Linked DNA regions of Caenorhabditis elegans. The protein of the gene in region 1 interacts with the protein of each later gene in a pairwise test. Each region holds a gene or a part of one and is shown on either strand. Other genes may lie near its edges.

Region 1 (6,771 bases):
CAAACTAATAGTAAAATATTTCAAGTTAAGGTTTTATTTCTGCGTAATCCACTATTTTTATCTTTTCTTGATTTTCCCTTTCATACTTTCACTCATTGTTTATTATTCGTGTCCCCTCGTCTCCGTTCTTCGACTGGAAAATCTGTAAGAGGGTCCAGCTGTGGTCTCCGGTGTACGGCACTCAACATGTCTCCTTGTGTATCGCTGCCAGTGCTGTCTATGCATTTATTATGAAAATAAAACAATTAGGCACATGGAAAAAGGCTTTATGTTCCTATAGCTTTTGGTTCACGGAGACCTAGTCTACGGCGCTGTTCGTCGATTGAAACTTAAATTTTAAATAGTAGTTTTCGGCATCATAAAGTCGCTATTAAGGCTGTCAGACAATTTAAGTTTTTATGCAATATTTTAAGATTTTAACTCAAACGCCGCCTGTGATCAGATAACTCCGACTACTAGAATATCTGCATGGTTCTGATCCTCATCATGATTTAAAATTCGAATCGACACGCAACGCAAGTAGCCGCCGACCCTCGTCTTCACTGTCGCTGCCCCCTGAACGATGGGGCTCTCCTGTTTCGGCTACTGGCTGCCCCTGGCTACTACTACCCCTTTTCTGCTATGCCCATGACCTTCTTCTTCTCCTCGCCCTCGCTTTTCTCTCTATTTTCCTTCTCCAACCCCACCATCCTGCTCGCCGTCGTCGTCGCAGTTGCTCCCCCATTTTTTTGCGCCACGCAAAAAAAAAAGAAAAAGAAGGACGACGACGACAACGAAGAAAGAGAAGAAGCAGAAGCAGTGAAAACGGAAAAATCGAAGACGTTGTCGTCTATTTTTTTGCTTCTGTTCTTTACAAATTATCTATTTTCTAACCTTTTTGTGGAGAACGTTGACCCGGCCGGAAGCATGTAGTAAAATTTCTTTTTGGTTGATTTTGCAAAACATGTTTATCCTCGATTAGCTGATTTTCATTTCGATTTCAGATTAAACCAATTGATTCTAAAATAGAAAACTGAATGAACAATCTCTGATCATTCTTGAAATATAACTAATTTAGTTCATCTGCAAGTTTAACAGTTAGTACATTTTTCTGTCGTAGATCAAGAAAAATTTCACCTTCGAATTTAGTACTCAAACATTGCAGGGATTCGAACATGCAAACGTTTTAACAATTTCCCCACTGACGCTGCTCCAAAGAAATCTGAGAGAACGTCTGATTTGAAAAAATGTTTGCGCAAAAATTAGAAAGGCCCTGTTTAGAGTATTGTAGGTTGCATATTTCTACCACTAAAATAAATTAATGAAAAAGTAAGAAAATTCAATAAAAATTAGTCGCCTTGACGACGTGCACCCTCTATTTTCCTCATTCGTCATTTTTGTCATCTCCTCTCATCTCATCTATATTCTGCCCTCGATCCCTCATCCATCCATTTCTTCATTCTCCATCTCACTGTGTCCCTTTTTTTCGCTCGATTGCTTTTTCTTTTCCTTATTTTTTAACCCGCTATAACTTACTTCGATTCTAATTTTTTCAATTTATTTTCAGCGCTGAGCTGCACCACATACAGTGAGTGAGTAGAGGATATCAAGTGGAGACCGCTACCGGGGCATAGGGTCCACCGTTCATCAACTCTAGCGCCATGGGTTGTACCATGTCACAGGAAGAGCGTGCCGCTCTTGAAAGATCACGAATGATTGAGAAAAATCTTAAAGAAGACGGCATGCAAGCGGCAAAAGATATCAAACTGCTGCTACTTGGTGCAGGAGAATCAGGAAAATCGACTATTGTAAAACAGATGAAGTGAGATTTTTTTAAATTTCTAAATAACAAATTAAAACATATATAAACGAAAATGGTAGAAATAAATGGTGAAAAACTCAGAATTTATCATCCGAAATTGTCCCATAGAACGTCCGAATATTTCGTTTGATCGATTTGAATTATTAAAAATTAAATTTAATTAAAAAGTAAATAAATCACTAGAGACTGCTATTAATTTTTTTTTCGTATTCAAAATTTGAAAAGTAAGTTCAACTCTCTAATAGTTTAAATTTGAAACACGCCTTTACAAATTTTCACATTTTAATGTTTTTTTTTCAGAATTATTCACGAATCGGGATTCACAGCAGAAGACTACAAACAGTACAAGCCGGTTGTCTACAGTAACACGGTTCAATCATTGGTCGCTATTTTGCGAGCCATGAGCAACTTAGGCGTTTCATTTGGTTCGGCTGACAGAGAGGTGAGTATTATGACAATTTTTCTGCAAAAAAATCGAAATTATTTAAAAATGAGGCACGAAATTTTCAAGTGATCCCTTAATGGAAAAAATTAATTTCGGTCCATTAGCTGCTAATGATTAGCACGACAAAAACGTTACTTCAAAATAAAACTTATTTTTCTGAAATTTACTTGCGATTGTGATCTATAGATAGAACATAAACATTATTCAATTAAAAATGTTTCCCGTGTTCTGAAGAGTAATTCGAAATATTTGGAAAATAACGAATAAAAAGATACGAAAAACGAAGAGCATGAGAATAAATGACATAATCTGTTGTATTCATTGGCTCGGTATCTTTTTCTCTCTCTCTCTCTTACATTCTGCAACTCTTATTGCCTCTCGTTGCACTCAATGCATCCCGCTACCACACCACCGTCCCATTCCAATTCCCTTGTGAGTTTCGATGCGCGACGCGCCACCGACAAACTCGTAGACTCGACCTAGTATTCCAAAAATATATGTTCGAGGCAGGAATTTTGAATTGGGATTTGGAAGGGATTCTAGAATGTTGGAAAATCTTTGGGAACACATTTTCGATTGATGTGGCAAATCATCAGAAAAAAATGTTCCCAACGTTTTGGAGAAGATTTTACATCATTCAGACGTCAAATGTTTTGTTATTGCGTCACAAATGCAATTCCCGGTTTTTATACGATGAATTTGTGTTCAATGCAAGAAGGTGTGCGCCTTTAAAGAGTACTGTAATGTTTAATTTTCGTTGCAGCCAAATTTTTAATCGATTTTTCATAGTTATTCAATAAAAACGTATTCATTTATTTTAAAAATTAATAAATAACAATCAAATATTTACGAATTAACTTTAACAAATCGTAAGAATAAATATAAACATATTTTAGCATTCAACAAAAATTTGTCGTGTCGAAAACGTAAAAAAGTTTTTGATGTGAAGATCGAACATTTATCATTCAATTTTATATATATCCTTAATCTTAACAAGACGTGACTATGCATGTCACCGAATATAAAGTAATTTGAGATAATTGAAATAAAATGACCATTTTGAGACCTTTGGACAAACCATTGGAAGAGAGCCAAGGATCCAATTTCAATTTTGTGAGAAAATTGGGAAAATGATGTACATGACATGCTGTGAATTATTCAATTTTCATCAGCGAATAAAGTTATCGAGAACTAAAATCAAAGTTTTTTGTTTCAGGTAGATGCAAAATTAGTGATGGATGTGGTGGCACGAATGGAGGACACAGAGCCATTCTCAGAAGAATTGCTCAGTTCAATGAAACGGTTGTGGGGAGACGCAGGTGTACAGGATTGTTTCTCAAGGAGTAACGAGTATCAATTGAATGATTCAGCCAAATAGTAAGTTTAATTCAAAATTTTGAAAAATTATTTCAAGTAACTATTATCTCCATAACAACCAAAGTGGTTTTTTTCATAAATTGAGAAGAGTTTCCTAAATTTCGAATCAATATGTTACATGTCAAGCTCATTTTCAATATTACCAAATTTAAAATTTCAAGAAATTTCGCAGTTTATAGAATTTATTAATAACCATTTTTTCAGTTTCCTTGACGACCTGGAAAGGTTAGGAGAGGCAATATATCAACCAACTGAGCAAGATATTCTCCGAACTCGTGTCAAAACAACTGGTATTGTTGAAGTTCACTTCACATTCAAAAATCTCAATTTCAAGTGAGTTTTCTTGATAAAAAAATAATATTTAATAATGAATATTTACAGATTGTTCGATGTGGGAGGTCAAAGATCAGAAAGGAAGAAGTGGATTCATTGTTTCGAAGATGTTACTGCTATTATTTTCTGTGTTGCCATGTCAGAGTATGATCAAGTGTTGCACGAAGATGAGACAACAGTGAGAAATTGATATTTTAATATTTTAGAAGCTTTTTTGTTGAAAAAGACAGACAAAATTTAAAATTAGAAAATATCGTTTAGAGACTTTATGTTTTTTAAACGATTTTCCAATCATGACTTGGTCGTTCGAGTCGACTTTTACAATAATAAAAATAATGTTCTTCTTCTAATTTTTCTAACGAAAATGCAACTTCTGACCGACAATATATTTGCCAAAATAAAAGAAACATGATAATTTAAAAATTACTCGTTTTTTTAAATTATATTCTATTATTCATTCTATTATTCATTATTCATTATTATTCATTATTGTTCCTTATTTCATATTTTCAGAACCGAATGCACGAATCGCTGAAGCTGTTCGATTCGATCTGTAATAACAAATGGTTCACAGATACATCGATTATTCTGTTCCTGAACAAGAAGGATCTGTTTGAAGAGAAAATCAAGAAAAGCCCGTTAACGATCTGCTTCCCAGAATATTCAGGTAAAATTTAATTGAATTTCCAATAAATGTTTTAATTTCTTAATCCCTGTAGGACGACAAGACTACCACGAGGCATCTGCGTATATTCAAGCACAATTTGAGGCTAAAAACAAATCAGCGAATAAGGTAAGAAAAAAAAGTCTAAAAATCAATGAAATCAGAGAAGCCTATGGGGTTCCTGTTCCACGAAAAGTATAAATTGTTTTTCTAGAATAATATTTTTTATAATTTTTAATATCTAGTTAATTTTGGAAATTTTTTGAAGTGTGAAACATTTATAAAATTTAATTTTTTTTAAGTAAACACGAATATTCAATTGTTTTGTTAATCTGTCACAGAAAATGATAACCAGAAAAATCTCTGAATCGTATTCAATTAAGTAATTACAACCAAAATTTGAGATTTTTACTATCTCGACATTTTCTCCGATATTGCGGTTACTGTAGTTTCATATTTGAATAGGTAGTTAAAGTTGAGTGTTGAGGTAATAATTTTAATTCATTATTTCATTTAATTTGTTTTCTTTTGAAATAATATTCTTATTTGCAGGAAATCTATTGCCACATGACATGTGCCACAGACACAACTAACATTCAATTTGTGTTTGACGCTGTCACCGATGTGATTATTGCCAATAATCTTCGTGGATGCGGCTTGTATTAAGCTGTCGTCTTCGCCGCCCTCTTCTACCATTCTGTGTGTATCTTTGCTTACTTTTCCCAAATTTTTAAAGATTCGTTATTTTTCTCATCCCCCGAGTATGCATCTATAATTTGAGAGCTTTACATGTACATTATGGTTGCAACTGTTTTTATTTTTTGGAAAAAGTTGCAATTTCAGATGTATATGGGCTTTTTTTTAACCTCTGATTCATTCATAATAGTCTCACCGCCCTTCTTTTTCTCAACTAGGATCCCTAATTTTTCTGTCACAAAAATAACACATAAAACTCACAATTATTTATTTTTTCCTTTTTTCTTATTTATTATATATTGTCATTATTCACGCCACATCCCCCGCCCTTCTCACTCCCGTGTAGCCTTATCGCTATTTGAAAACAAGAAAACTTTAAAAATCTAAATTCAGTTGGAATTCGTCCCGTTCCGCCACACACCCCCTAAAGGTCTCTTCACCCCGAATTATAAAGCTTTGCCCCTTTTTTCTTTCTTTTCTCCCATTTTTCAACACACCTAGTCACTGTTAACAGTTAAATAATGGCAGCTTTTGTCTATGTTTAAAGATTTTATTTTTAATTTTTGGTATTTTTCTATTTCTACTCTTCCCCTCTCATCCATTTTCCCTCCTTTTCCTAAAACCACACTTCCAAACTCATTTTTCTCGCTGTTTTCCTCTCCCTATTTTTTCTTTTACTTTTTCATTTTTCCATCTTTTTTCTTTAAAATCGTCTCGCTTTTTGTCGGTGAGCACGATGGTGTGCAGTAGACGATATTTTCCGCATTGGTTTATTGTCGACTGCACCCACTCATTGATATCTTATTTGATATAAACGACATCCTCAACTAGTTTTCGTACAAATTCAGTTTGGTGGATACAAAAGTACAGTGATTTAGTTTGCATGGGAAATTGCATATGGGACTACCGTACATATGTCTAGATAAAAAACCAATATTTTTAAAACTCGATAAAATTTAAATTTCCCTGAACTCCTTTTTGAATAACCACCAAGAAGTTTAAACCTCGCGCGCGAATTTAAAATTTAATTGTTATTTTGAATTATTAGCATGGTTTAAAACAATTTCCCCATCATTACCAAGATTTAAAAAAATCAAAACCTATTGTTATAACATCAAAAGTGGGAAACCCCAAAAATAGTCTTCAGATAATGATTTTCTCAAGATAAATGACCCGGAAGTGAGTGTTACTAAAGCGAAAAACCTTCCAAATGTCAAGTTTCATTAAATTTTACAACAATCATCTAAAAATGTGTCCTTTTTGTCACACAATTGTGTTCATTTTCCATCAGCTTTTCCCTCCTCCTCCCACTATGTGATAAACTTTCACTTTTTCTGTTCATTTGCCAAAAAAAAGAGAATATCTCATACACTTTCCTATCTTCTCTTTTAATTGAACTATTATTCTATTTCATGAGAAATATGAGATTATGTCATTCAATTATTTTATTTAATT
Region 2 (6,133 bases), 290 kb from region 1:
CGCATACAGTACATAAGAATGGAGATCGCTGCGAGACCCACTCAGTGTTAAAACGAACGCTCCTTGAATTTATTTTTGCTGTACAGCCTTATTTTTCTCCTTTTTACAAGTATTGTGTGCTTTCCATGTTTTAAAAAGTGACTTAGTTGTTAATTTTATTTTGAATGATACTCATCTAATTCAGGCTTGTAGCTTAGATCGCAATGAAGTTAATCGTTTGCAACCTATGTGGATTCCCGCCAGCAAGAAGGCAATTTTACATCACCACCTGCTCTCACATCTTGTCGAACAACGCAGACTGCTGGATTTTGTTATTTGTGTAAGGTCCCTACGAAAACTCTTAAAATAGATGGAAATCTGCCGAAAATGTGCGGAAAATGTTCAGCGCTGTACATCCCGATTCGCGACGTGACTGTAAAAAGTACAGATATTCTCAAACGTCTCACCAGAATTATTGGTTTTTAAAGTATTCAGAATTCAATTTATTAGGAAAACGAAAAATAAAAGGTAATTTTTTGCACTTGTTTCATGCAGAAGAAAAAGTTTTATTTCAGTCGGTGATGCTAAAAGATCAAACGGCGAAAACAGAGAAAAGGACACAGGAAATCACATGCCAACTGTCGAAGCTAGCCAATTTTGAGGAAAATAATCGAAAGAAGCTTCAAGATACTGAACGCGAGAACAAGAAGCTTCGAAATTTGTAAGTAGTTTCTGCACGAGATTAAATTTAACATTTTTTTTCTATTTTAGAATCAATTCCCTTGAACTGAAACTTGTCAGTTCTCCTGTTATCGACAATAACGATTTTTTTATTCAAGGAAAATCTACCTCTTCAAATCCTTTTTTTTTTAATCTCGGAAAATGACGAATTGCTCGAACGTGTATTTCACTTCCATTGTGCCACCTTCACCAAATTGTCAGACTTCCAACTTCTTTTTTTTCCAACACCAATGTATGTTGCAAATGAGTACGCGAAGAGTGGTCGTAATTTGTGGAATGAAGCCATGTGAGTTTAAGAAAATGACAACAGTTGATATTAAAATATTTTTGCAGCATTGCGGATGCAATTCCCGAAGTTTCTGGACCAGAGGCAGCTCGTATGAAGCAGATTACCGATAGCATCAAATACAAGGAATCCGGCTTCCTGATCGACCGTCGTGTCAATGCTTCAGCACTAATAATTCAATCAAATTGTAGTATTTTCAATTCCAACTTCTAGTTTGTGAGAAGCATACCATGATTTTTTATTTGTATCCCACCCTGTCATTCTTGTTTTTGCGTTACATACAATGCGTATCTAATAGTAAGTGGTGTAACTGCTAATTTCATTTTCCCCCGTTGCCCTATTATTGTTTTGACCTACGTGGAAATTGATTTTTTGTTGTTGTTGTTGAGTGCAGATTATAGAATGTAGCCTGTTGTTATGTTAAGTTGTACGTGCAATGTTGTTGTAGTCTCCTTAAACCCATAAAAATCATAAAACTTATTTCAGTTTTAAGTTTGAAAAATCGGGATCACCAAAATAATATTTCTTTCGCTTTTTTGGTTTTGAACAAAGTTTTAGATTGGGAAAATTTTCAAAAAACCAATACATGGAAATTTTATTTTTTTTGTTTTTTTGTTATGGAATACCAGTGTTCTCCGTAGAGCGCACTTTCATTTATATTTTCGGCGCGTTATTTATTGTTTCAAACCAACTCTTTGCATTTTGCGCTACATTATATAACGTTTTAATCAATTTCCACTTTTTTTTGCAGAATGCCTCCTAAACCCCGAATAAAAGTGCCAATATCGCCCGGGAAAAAAGCTCGAAATAATTTTGCCCGACGAAATCGTCAATTGTCAAGCGTAATTATCACAGAATGCCCGATCGACTTTCCTGAATATGAGTTTTCAAAAAATCCGGCGCTGTTTAAGTCGTTTAATGATAATCCAGAGTTCAAACCGTATGTTAAAAATTGTTTTCAAAGTAACAAAATTTAAAATTTCTTCAGAAGCAAAAAGAAGAATAAGCCAAAACCAGTGTTCCCACCATCTCCAAATGTCAGTGATGTCGAAATATCAAGTGATGAGGAAGATGCTGGACAATTTAAAGTGCCTGATGCAGATGCTGATGAAGAAGAAAAAATTAAGAAAATCGTTAGTATTTTGTTTACTCCTTTTAACGTTGTAAACGTGGAGTGAATGCAAAAATAACATTTGAATGTTCGAGTTTTGAAAATAATCTAATTTTTTCAGAAGGAAGCATTTGATTCATTGGATGATGTTTCTCTCGAAGTCTTCAATAATGATGGAATTAGAGTAAAAATAGAAAATGGAAAACATATTATTCACGATAAGCAGCCTGAAGAAGCATGGCGGCCAGGTATTCGAGAATATCACGATGGAAATTTCCCAATGATGAATAGTTAGTCCAGAAAACATCAAAAGGTTTATTAATTATAATTTCAGAGCCAGCAAAGAAAATAGATTTCGCGAAGAAAATGGAACAAAGACAAAAAAAACCAGTTAAGCAGGTTCCAGAGATGAATTCCAAAGCAAACCAAGTTCAGTGTCCAACAAATTATGCATCATTTTGCGGTTCAATTCTAGCAGATCATATGAGACAAAACAAAAGTTAGTCACATTTTTCAACTTGATATTTAGCAATTTTCATTATTTCAGAAGCATCTTTGGCAGCTCCATCATTGTTCAGGGTATTTGGCACACCTCAAAGATCGAAGATGATCGTGCCGGCGAAACATGTCCAGTGTCAGGATGAGCGTCTCGCTATTTATAGCTGTACTTTTGAAAACTGGAAATTATTTTCAAATTCATTAACCTTTTTTAGACACCCCGATTCGTGTGAACAAAACGGCGAAGCAACTAGACGACACGATCGGAAGCATTGTCTTCTCGCCGAAAACTCAGAATGCGAGTACTCCGATTGAAAAGCAGACAGCTGGAAGAAGACCCAAAAGCTTCCCAGTATTTGGTATTTTTTTAAACATTTATATAACTTTGCTATAGATTATGTCTTTCATTTTAAAAAGTCATAGTCAATAGTTACACTGAAAATTAATTTTAAAAAATTGTTTCAGATGTTTCCCTCAATGATTCTTGCGAGAATATCACGAAAAAAGAAGAACAAATCGCACAAAAATCTGCAAATTCTGATCAAAAAGAGACTACCATCAACAATATCCCGATCGAAGAGGAATACAGTGGAAGAGTTCATGGTAATTTCAATATTACTCATTTTCTAATATTTTCTATTTTAAAACTCTATTTAGAATTTTATAAGCCCTAAAAAAGTTTTCCACAGTGCAAAAAAATGTATTCACAATTCTCACAAACCAATTAAATATTTATTCCTAATCCGTTGTCTTTGTAGAATCATCATTGGCTGGAAGTATACAACAACCACAGCAAGATCTTGAAGAAACTGCAATCTCCGAAAATCGTCTCTCACATTCTACACTGAAAACCACGCCAATCGAGTCCCGGAACGAAAGTCACCAAAATTCAAAAATCATGACCCAGCAGGTCTCAGACTCAGAAGATGTTGAAGATGTCACTTTTAACCGAAAAGCTGAAACGTCTGTTACGGAACTATTGCACGAGGAGGATGAGCATGAACGATGCTCAGATCTAAATCTCGAAGAAAGCAAATATTCGAAAAAGCGACAAAGAACAAAGAGCCCGGAGACAATGTGTCAAGGCATGAGCACTGTGATGACGATGCAGGATGATCAAGACGATCTAGAAGCTTTATTCGAAATTGAAAAAGAGAATGAAATAAGAAAAAGAACAACTCTTCAACCCCAACAAAGGCAACGTGACAGAGAATCTCGTGTCTCACGACTTTCAGTAATGTCTGCAGCTTCATCTCGTCACGATTCCATAAATAGTGCCATGGAGGAGATGAGCTTACAACAATTTTTAGAAGACACGATGGGAGAAGAGTTTGGAAAAACTCAATATTCAGAATCTCGTGCAGAATCTAGAAATATTCCTACTGGTATGACGATTCATAATGAAGATCCGTCGATACTCCCATTCTACTTGGAAGATCTAACTTCGGAAATCGATCCATCACCGATGATGCAGCTCCTTCATGTTGTTGGTCAAAAAGAATCAAAAACGTGGGATAGTCTACCGAAGTCGGCTCTCGATGGTCGAAGAGTTAAGAAACTCGGCGAAGGAGCCTACGGTGAAGTCTTCTCAACAATATGGGATGGTAAACCGGTTGCTATCAAAATCGTCCCATTTGAAAAAGATGGATGCAATCGGCAATATTTCGGTGAATATCATTCTGAGGAAATGCAAACATCCGATGTCGTTCTGCCTGAAGTTATCGTAATGAAGGAACTATCGGCTTTGAGAGATGAAGATGCTTGGAATTCTACTCCAAATTTCATCGAAATGATTTCTGCCGAAGTTGTGATGGGGAAGTATCCTAAAGGATTGTTGAGTGCCTGGGATTCATACGACAAATTGAAAGAATCCGAGAATACAAGGCCAGATGTGTATTCTTCAATAGATCAAAACTTTATTCTTTTCGTTTCGGCAAATGGTGGAATCGCACTGGAAGATTTTGTCCTTGAAAGTGAAAATGAACTCTTTTCGATCATTCACCAACTCGTTCTTTCAATGAATGCAGCAGAAGCAGCTCTCGAATTTGAACACAGAGACTTACATCTTGGTAATGTACTGATTGATCGGAATGGCGTGAAAGAGCTTTATTACACTGTTCATGGGCAGAAAGTACCATTAAGTACCCATGGAATTAAAGTCAATATTATTGATTTCACATTGAGCCGAATTTCCAAAGGTTTGTCTATATTCAGAGAAATCGCCAATTTTTGAAAAAAAATTCTAATTTTAGGTGCGACAACTGTCTATTGGGACTTGGAAAACGACCCAGCAATTTTCGAGGGACAAGATGATCCACAATTCGAAGTATATCGAGAAATGAGAAAGAATTGCAAGTGAGTAATATATTCCTTAGGAAATAGAAAAAAATCAAACATTTCAGGAGCAATTGGAAGAAATTTTCGAGGCGAACGAATCTCATGTGGATTGTATACATTGCAAATCGACTGATTGATACAAAAATCTGCCCCAAGGGACTTCTTACCGAGAAACGGAGAATGGTTGGCACGAAATCAAGATAAATAATCGAAAACAACTATTTCAGGAGCTCAAAGTACTGTTTGACCGATTTGCCGAGTTTGGTTCTTGTGGAGAATCGTTGACCAATGAGGAATTCTTCAGCGATTTTTACGAGGGACCGATCGGAATGTCCACGACACGTCAATAATGTGCTCAGAATATGAGTATCAAAAAAATCCGCGGGTCTCAATAATCTAGATCTCGTTTCATATTTCCTGTCAAATATTTATTTTTTGAAATTTTAGTATTTACGATGTCTTTCATTTTCAGTTTAAAAGTGTTTCTAATATATAATTAAATCTTTTTTATTATTTTAAACAAAACCGTGCGATTTTTTAGAAACGTTCAGAAAAGTAAAATTTGAGACAAAAAAATAAATAACTAGTAGAAAGAGAAAGTTCAAGATTTAAAAAAATTGAAAATCCTAGGAATTCTTCTCAGTAACTTTTATTCAGCTTTGACTGCCTTCCTTTTCGGTTTCTTCTCAGAATCCAGAATCTGACGAACTTCTTCATTTGATATTCTCATGCCATCATCATCACTCTCTGAAAATATTATTTTATCAAAGGTTTCAATTTTTTCAATACAAGCATTATTTGAAGCTTGGTTACAGATCTTCGAAATTAGCGTTTTTAAAATAAGTTAATCTGAATTTTAATGATTCAGTAGCCATGCACATACCAGTAACCTCTTCAATAGTTGGTCCATCTCCACCACGGAGAGCTGTAAGCCATCTACGTTGAAATGGTCGAATAAGAAGTGGAAGTAAAAGTACAATAGCTCCCCATAATCCATTGAATAAAAGACGTCCAAATGCGTCACCAGTATACTTACTGAATGTTTCTGACCATGTTCTTGGACTTTCGAATTTTCGAAGATAGTCTTCGTGTTTTTCTCTGAAACAAATTTTTAATTTGAGAGAAAAACTGAAATCCTTCCGGTTTCAAATTGAGGGAATTACAAGAATTGCTTTCTTCAA
Region 3 (5,015 bases), on another chromosome or scaffold:
ATTCAAACATAATGATTGCTTGCAAAATGCAAAATGTGTCTCGCTTGGACCAGTGAGGAAGTCATGTCGACCTTTGTTGAAATAAATTATAAGTTTAGCAAATAAGCATCATGCAACAAAAAAATGACATGACTAAATGAAAAGAAGAAGAGATTGACTATTTAGAAAAAAAGTCGAACACGTCATTGCAAATTAAAAAAGATTTTTGACACATTGGGAAGTGTTTTCGAAGCAAACTAGAGCCCGAAAAAAAATAATACGATATTTCATATGTATATGAACGGCTCTCTTAAACAAGTGCGCAAAATTGTTACCTACAGAAAAACCTAACTCTTGTTTTTCTAATAGTTTTACTTTTAACAAATCGTAGGTTTTTCAATTACATAAAACTTTGTCTGTTTAAATAGTAGTACGTTGAAACTTGCATTCTTATCATACGGATTTTGTCTAAACAGTATTGATCCTAGGGTCTAAATTTCAATTTTAATAAAAATATGCTTTAGAATACTTTCGAAGAAAAACGATTTTTTTTTTAAATTTAAATGGATTTTTCATTAAGTAACATAATTGAGCATTTTGCATAACAATTTTTAACACTGTTATTTTCTAGTGTGCCTAAGCAGTTGCACGCGAATTTCAATTGGTTTCCAAACTTAATGACTGTTTTCAAATCAGCGCGGTTGAACGTCAAAATATGAATTTTCATTTCAGAGTTTTAGTGAAATGATGATTTCTAGTTTTGAACCTTAAGCTTACAGTGTTTTGGAGCTGAGAGAACCAAGAGAAAAGTGGTCAAGATGAAATAGAAAAAGAACAACGGTAGTTAGTTATTTTGAAGATTCCATAAAAGCTACTTAAAAACGTTCAGAAATAATTTTCTTGAAATGATTGTTACCACTCATTATGGGCTTAAAATTCTTACTGTTTCACAAACCGACCCAATAGTTACAAGCAAGTTTATTTGAAATTATAAACATTTTAAAATTCTAGAAAAAACTAAATGTTGTCACATTGCGTTAAAAAAAATCGGAGAATTTGTAATTAAACATTTTTACATTTACTTTCAGAAATATTTTAAGAAACTAAAAAATTGTTTTAAAAAACGGGTAACTATTTGAAAAAATGCAGCAAGCAGAATCGTACAGTTTCATTTATTGCTAGTTACTAAACTGAAAAAGGAAACTAGCCGTATCAGTCAGCAAAAATGACAGTTCCGAGGCAAAAAGCGAACAACGAAATTGACATGTGTTTGTTTCGAATTTGTTGAATGCAACGCTACGCATAAAATTGTGCTGTTTCATCAATTATCCCTCCGGGATCTCTCAAAACTTCGAACTATTCTCTAGTTGCTGACTGATCATTTGTGTCGAGTTATCACCAATTGTTACCAATCGAACATCTTTTCTAAGCCAATCAAATGACACGCTAAATATATGTTTTGATTCTCTTTCCCATTCAATGTGCCCCAACCCTTCTCTATTCTCCTCTCTTTCCGCAATACAGAGTGTTAGCAGAGAAAAAAAGGAAATACTACGACACTTCGCGCTCTTTGTTTATTGGTGTCGATTTACGATAGTAAGGTGACGTGTTCGATGCAAATATGGAATTTGTCAAATGATATCTTCAATATTTTTACTTTTTTTCCATAATTTGCTTTTTTTAATAAACCACATTTCCCCCATTTGTCTTGCACTCCTATTGTTTTTATTAAGTTTTCTATATTTACCGACATTGAGAAGTATAACTGTTTTTATTTCCAGATAATGATTAAGCCTCTAGTCATAATTGCTGTGCTACTAGTCAACGATGTCGTGTGTCCCCCGCCATTGAGACAACAAGCAGAGCAGGCCCAGGCTCAGGATAATGTTCAACACCAGGTATTTCTTTCATTTATTAACAATGTTTAGCCAAAAATAAATGCTACCACTAAATTTCGTCAGAAATATTCAATCACAAATTAAAATATTTTTAGCCCGCCACTGGAGACGCACAACAAGGACAAGGGCAAGCTCAAAACACAGAGCAACAAGGAGAATATGATGGTCGGCACCCAGTATGTTTTGAAACAATTTTGAGATAAACATATAAACTACTTGCAGGGATATCAATTCGCCTACACAAAATATTTGGAAGAAGTAGTGAAGATTCTTGAAAGCGACCCAAAATTTAATGAACGTCTGAAGAACATGAAAGAAGAGGACATCAAGGTTTTTTATTGCACATAATCTTTATCTGAGATTATATATTACAGGCAGGAAACATCGCCGATCACATTGACGACCTTCCTCAGGAAGTTTTTGACAAATTGCACAAAGCCAAGTTTGATGAAATCGAAAGACTCAGGAAGCAAATTGAAGAGCAAATCAAAGTATTTACTATTTATTTGATACATTTATAAAAATTAATATTATTAAATTTTAAGGCTGATGGAGGCGCACACAACATCAAAATGCCGGACCATCTTGATGTACAAGAGCTTGAAAAATTTCACAAGGAAGATTTGAGAAAGCTGATACAGAAGACGGTGGCCGATATGAACGTCATGGACGAGCAAAGAAAAGATGACTTCAAACAATACGAAATGAAGAAACAAGCTGAAGAAGATCACAAGTTGGCTCAAATGACTCCAGAAGAACGAGAAAAAGCAAAGTCTGAACATGAAGAGTCGCTGAAAAGACACAATGATCATGAAAAGCTGAAACACCCAGGAAGCAAAGATCAGCTTCAAGAAGTTTGGGAAGAAAGTGATCATGTAGGTTCTAATTTTACTCAGATTTACGACAACGACTGAACAGTTGTTTAAATAATACAACTTGGTTTGAACTCAATCAGCTTTTGTCGAATCTATATAGATTTTGACAGTAGACTTGATTTCGCTGTATAGGTTTTTTTTTTATGAAGAAAAAGAACATTATCGATTCTGGTTCAAGTGTTTATACATTGGAAAAGATTTGCAACAAAGATAAGATTGCAGCCAAAAATAATGGTTCTGATCGCTAAAAATGATAGTATTTACAGCATAGTCATTATCTTGAAAAGTGACAGTGTAACAAGGGAGCAAAGAGATTTTTTATATAATAATAAAATGAACATAATGTTTGAAAGCAAAATAAATCTGTGTTTTAGTATAAAGTTAAATATTTTCTATTAATTTTTCACTGAACAACTGAAAAACGTACTTTTATAATAGGTTTTAATAATGTTTTTTATTTGGAATTTAGCTATAACTTCATTATTTTAAAAACCATTTTTATCTCAATAAAATAAACTCCAATAACTTCAATTTTCAGCTTGAAAAAGATCAATACGATCCAAAAACCTTTTTTGCACTTCACGACCTGAACGGAGATGGTTTCTGGAATGATTTTGAGCTGGAATCTCTTTTCCAACTAGAGCTTGAAAAAATGTATAACGAAACCAACCCAGACGACGACATGAAAGAAAGAGCTGAGGAGATGTACCGTATGAGAGAGCACGTTATGAAGCAAATTGATGTTAATCAGGATCGCATGATCTCTATGCAAGAGTTCTTGAATGATTCTGACAATCAGAATTCAAATCCACCAAAGCAAGAAGAATGGGAAGATCTGGGACAGAAGAAAGTGTATACGGATGAAGAACTCCAGCAGTTTGAAAGAGAATATGCACAAAAACAAGGTTAGTTTGGGGTTTAATCCTAGCAGGCATTTTGTTCCATTTAACACTTTTCTGAGTTTTTACTAACACGCAGGCTTACTTTGATTTCAAATTATAAAGCTATTAAAACATTTTAAAAATGCAATAGTGATGCCTTACTTAGAATTTTGATTTTTAACTAGGATGGGGAGAACATGCATATGACCCACAACAAGTTGCTTCAGAACAACAACATCCGCAAGAAGCTGTCCAACAACCACCACAGGTATAAAGTTACTTAACATAGTAATGTAATCATTTGACATTTTCACAGGCTCAGCAACAAGTTCACCCTGCTCAACAGCCAATTCAACCGGTGAATGCAAATCCACCACCTGTTCAAAATGCGCAACCGCCTGTGCAACAGGTACCAAAAACTGACATTCAGAAAATCCAATAATTACTACCCTTTTTACAGCAACAACAACCTCCACAGCAACCACCGCAACAACCACCTCAACAAAATTTGCCCCCTGTGCACCATGAACCCATCCAAGATCACACTAAAGATCCAACATACGGAATTTAATTTATATCAGTTGTAGATTTCTAATTTGTTTTAAAATGCTAATGCTTTTGGTTGAGATAATATGTAACTTAATGTCGAAACCCGGGTTGTATACTTTTGAATAGGTTTTCAAACATTCAGAATTGTCATTGGCCATTTCTTGTCTGTCTATTCCTTTGTCGATTGGACCTGTTAATCCCAATTCGGACAAAAACTGCATATTATGAAATGAACGCATTTATCAGAATATTTTTATATATGAAAATAAGTAAATAAAAAACACTACCTCACCAATCTAGGATTGCAGTGCGAAAAAGAAAAAAAAACTTTTGGAGAGCTTTGCAGATTTGCGAATAGACAGCGTAAAACTTCAATTCAATAATTGGAAAATTTGAATCGAGTGAAAGAGTTAAACATTCGGAACATATAAAGAAAAACCTAATTTTAATTGGTTCCGTCACGGCAATCGTGAAAAAAGTCAAAATTTGTTTCAGCTTAAAAGTTTCAGCACTGAACCGAAATTATTAATTTCAAGAAGCAAAAACAAGAATCTCCATTGGTTAAGATGATACATTTGCGTTTGGAAATAGTTATTTTGTAGTTAGAATATCGCCCGCGAGCACAGTTTTATTGAAAATCTTGATTCTCACTGTTTTATATTTCAAAAACAATATCACTCGTCCTGTAATTTTCTCATAACCATAACTTCTTGTTTTCTAGCACAGTTAACGCATGAAGATGAAGCTCTTAGGAAAGTTAAAAGAATCATGCCTTCGTTTGGTCTTGAAAAAAATAAATCTTTCATAATGCATTAACATCTCCTAACGGAATA

What was found.
Region 2: the proteins of goa-1 (region 1) and hasp-1 interact in a two-hybrid assay, tested with the Caenorhabditis elegans proteins (one study listed by BioGRID).
Region 3: the proteins of goa-1 (region 1) and nucb-1 interact in a two-hybrid assay, tested with the Caenorhabditis elegans proteins (one study listed by BioGRID).

The regions. Positions count from the first base shown.
Region 1 is NC_003279.8:7,520,570-7,527,340, forward strand, and holds goa-1 (Guanine nucleotide-binding protein G(o) subunit alpha), read left to right. Parts: upstream 1-1,546; 5' UTR 1,547-1,640; coding exon 1,641-1,801; intron 1,802-2,101; coding exon 2,102-2,243; intron 2,244-3,462; coding exon 3,463-3,623; intron 3,624-3,827; coding exon 3,828-3,956; intron 3,957-4,004; coding exon 4,005-4,134; intron 4,135-4,469; coding exon 4,470-4,623; intron 4,624-4,675; coding exon 4,676-4,749; intron 4,750-5,172; coding exon 5,173-5,286; 3' UTR 5,287-6,143; downstream 6,144-6,771. Other genes in the region: Zinc metalloproteinase nas-36, read left to right, coding at 6,738-6,771. UniProt on the Caenorhabditis elegans protein: Guanine nucleotide-binding proteins (G proteins) are involved as modulators or transducers in various transmembrane signaling systems. In the 1-cell embryo, probably together with gpa-16, controls nuclear rotation and spindle elongation during mitosis.
Region 2 is NC_003279.8:7,228,746-7,234,878, reverse strand, and holds hasp-1 (non-specific serine/threonine protein kinase), read left to right. Parts: upstream 1-1,757; 5' UTR 1,758-1,758; coding exon 1,759-1,946; intron 1,947-1,994; coding exon 1,995-2,139; intron 2,140-2,238; coding exon 2,239-2,407; intron 2,408-2,451; coding exon 2,452-2,616; intron 2,617-2,664; coding exon 2,665-2,781; intron 2,782-2,830; coding exon 2,831-2,974; intron 2,975-3,080; coding exon 3,081-3,218; intron 3,219-3,373; coding exon 3,374-4,813; intron 4,814-4,867; coding exon 4,868-4,970; intron 4,971-5,017; coding exon 5,018-5,135; intron 5,136-5,179; coding exon 5,180-5,302; 3' UTR 5,303-5,545; downstream 5,546-6,133. Other genes in the region: R06C7.2 (BEN domain-containing protein), read left to right, coding at 378-700, 751-775, 819-1,006, 1,054-1,219; C01H6.8 (Sensitive to high expression protein 9, mitochondrial), read right to left, coding at 5,602-5,699, 5,836-6,050.
Region 3 is NC_003284.9:10,195,946-10,200,960, forward strand, and holds nucb-1 (NUCB1-like N-terminal domain-containing protein), read left to right. Parts: upstream 1-1,760; 5' UTR 1,761-1,763; coding exon 1,764-1,877; intron 1,878-1,972; coding exon 1,973-2,053; intron 2,054-2,099; coding exon 2,100-2,207; intron 2,208-2,251; coding exon 2,252-2,368; intron 2,369-2,422; coding exon 2,423-2,752; intron 2,753-3,290; coding exon 3,291-3,657; intron 3,658-3,818; coding exon 3,819-3,901; intron 3,902-3,949; coding exon 3,950-4,042; intron 4,043-4,093; coding exon 4,094-4,204; 3' UTR 4,205-4,428; downstream 4,429-5,015.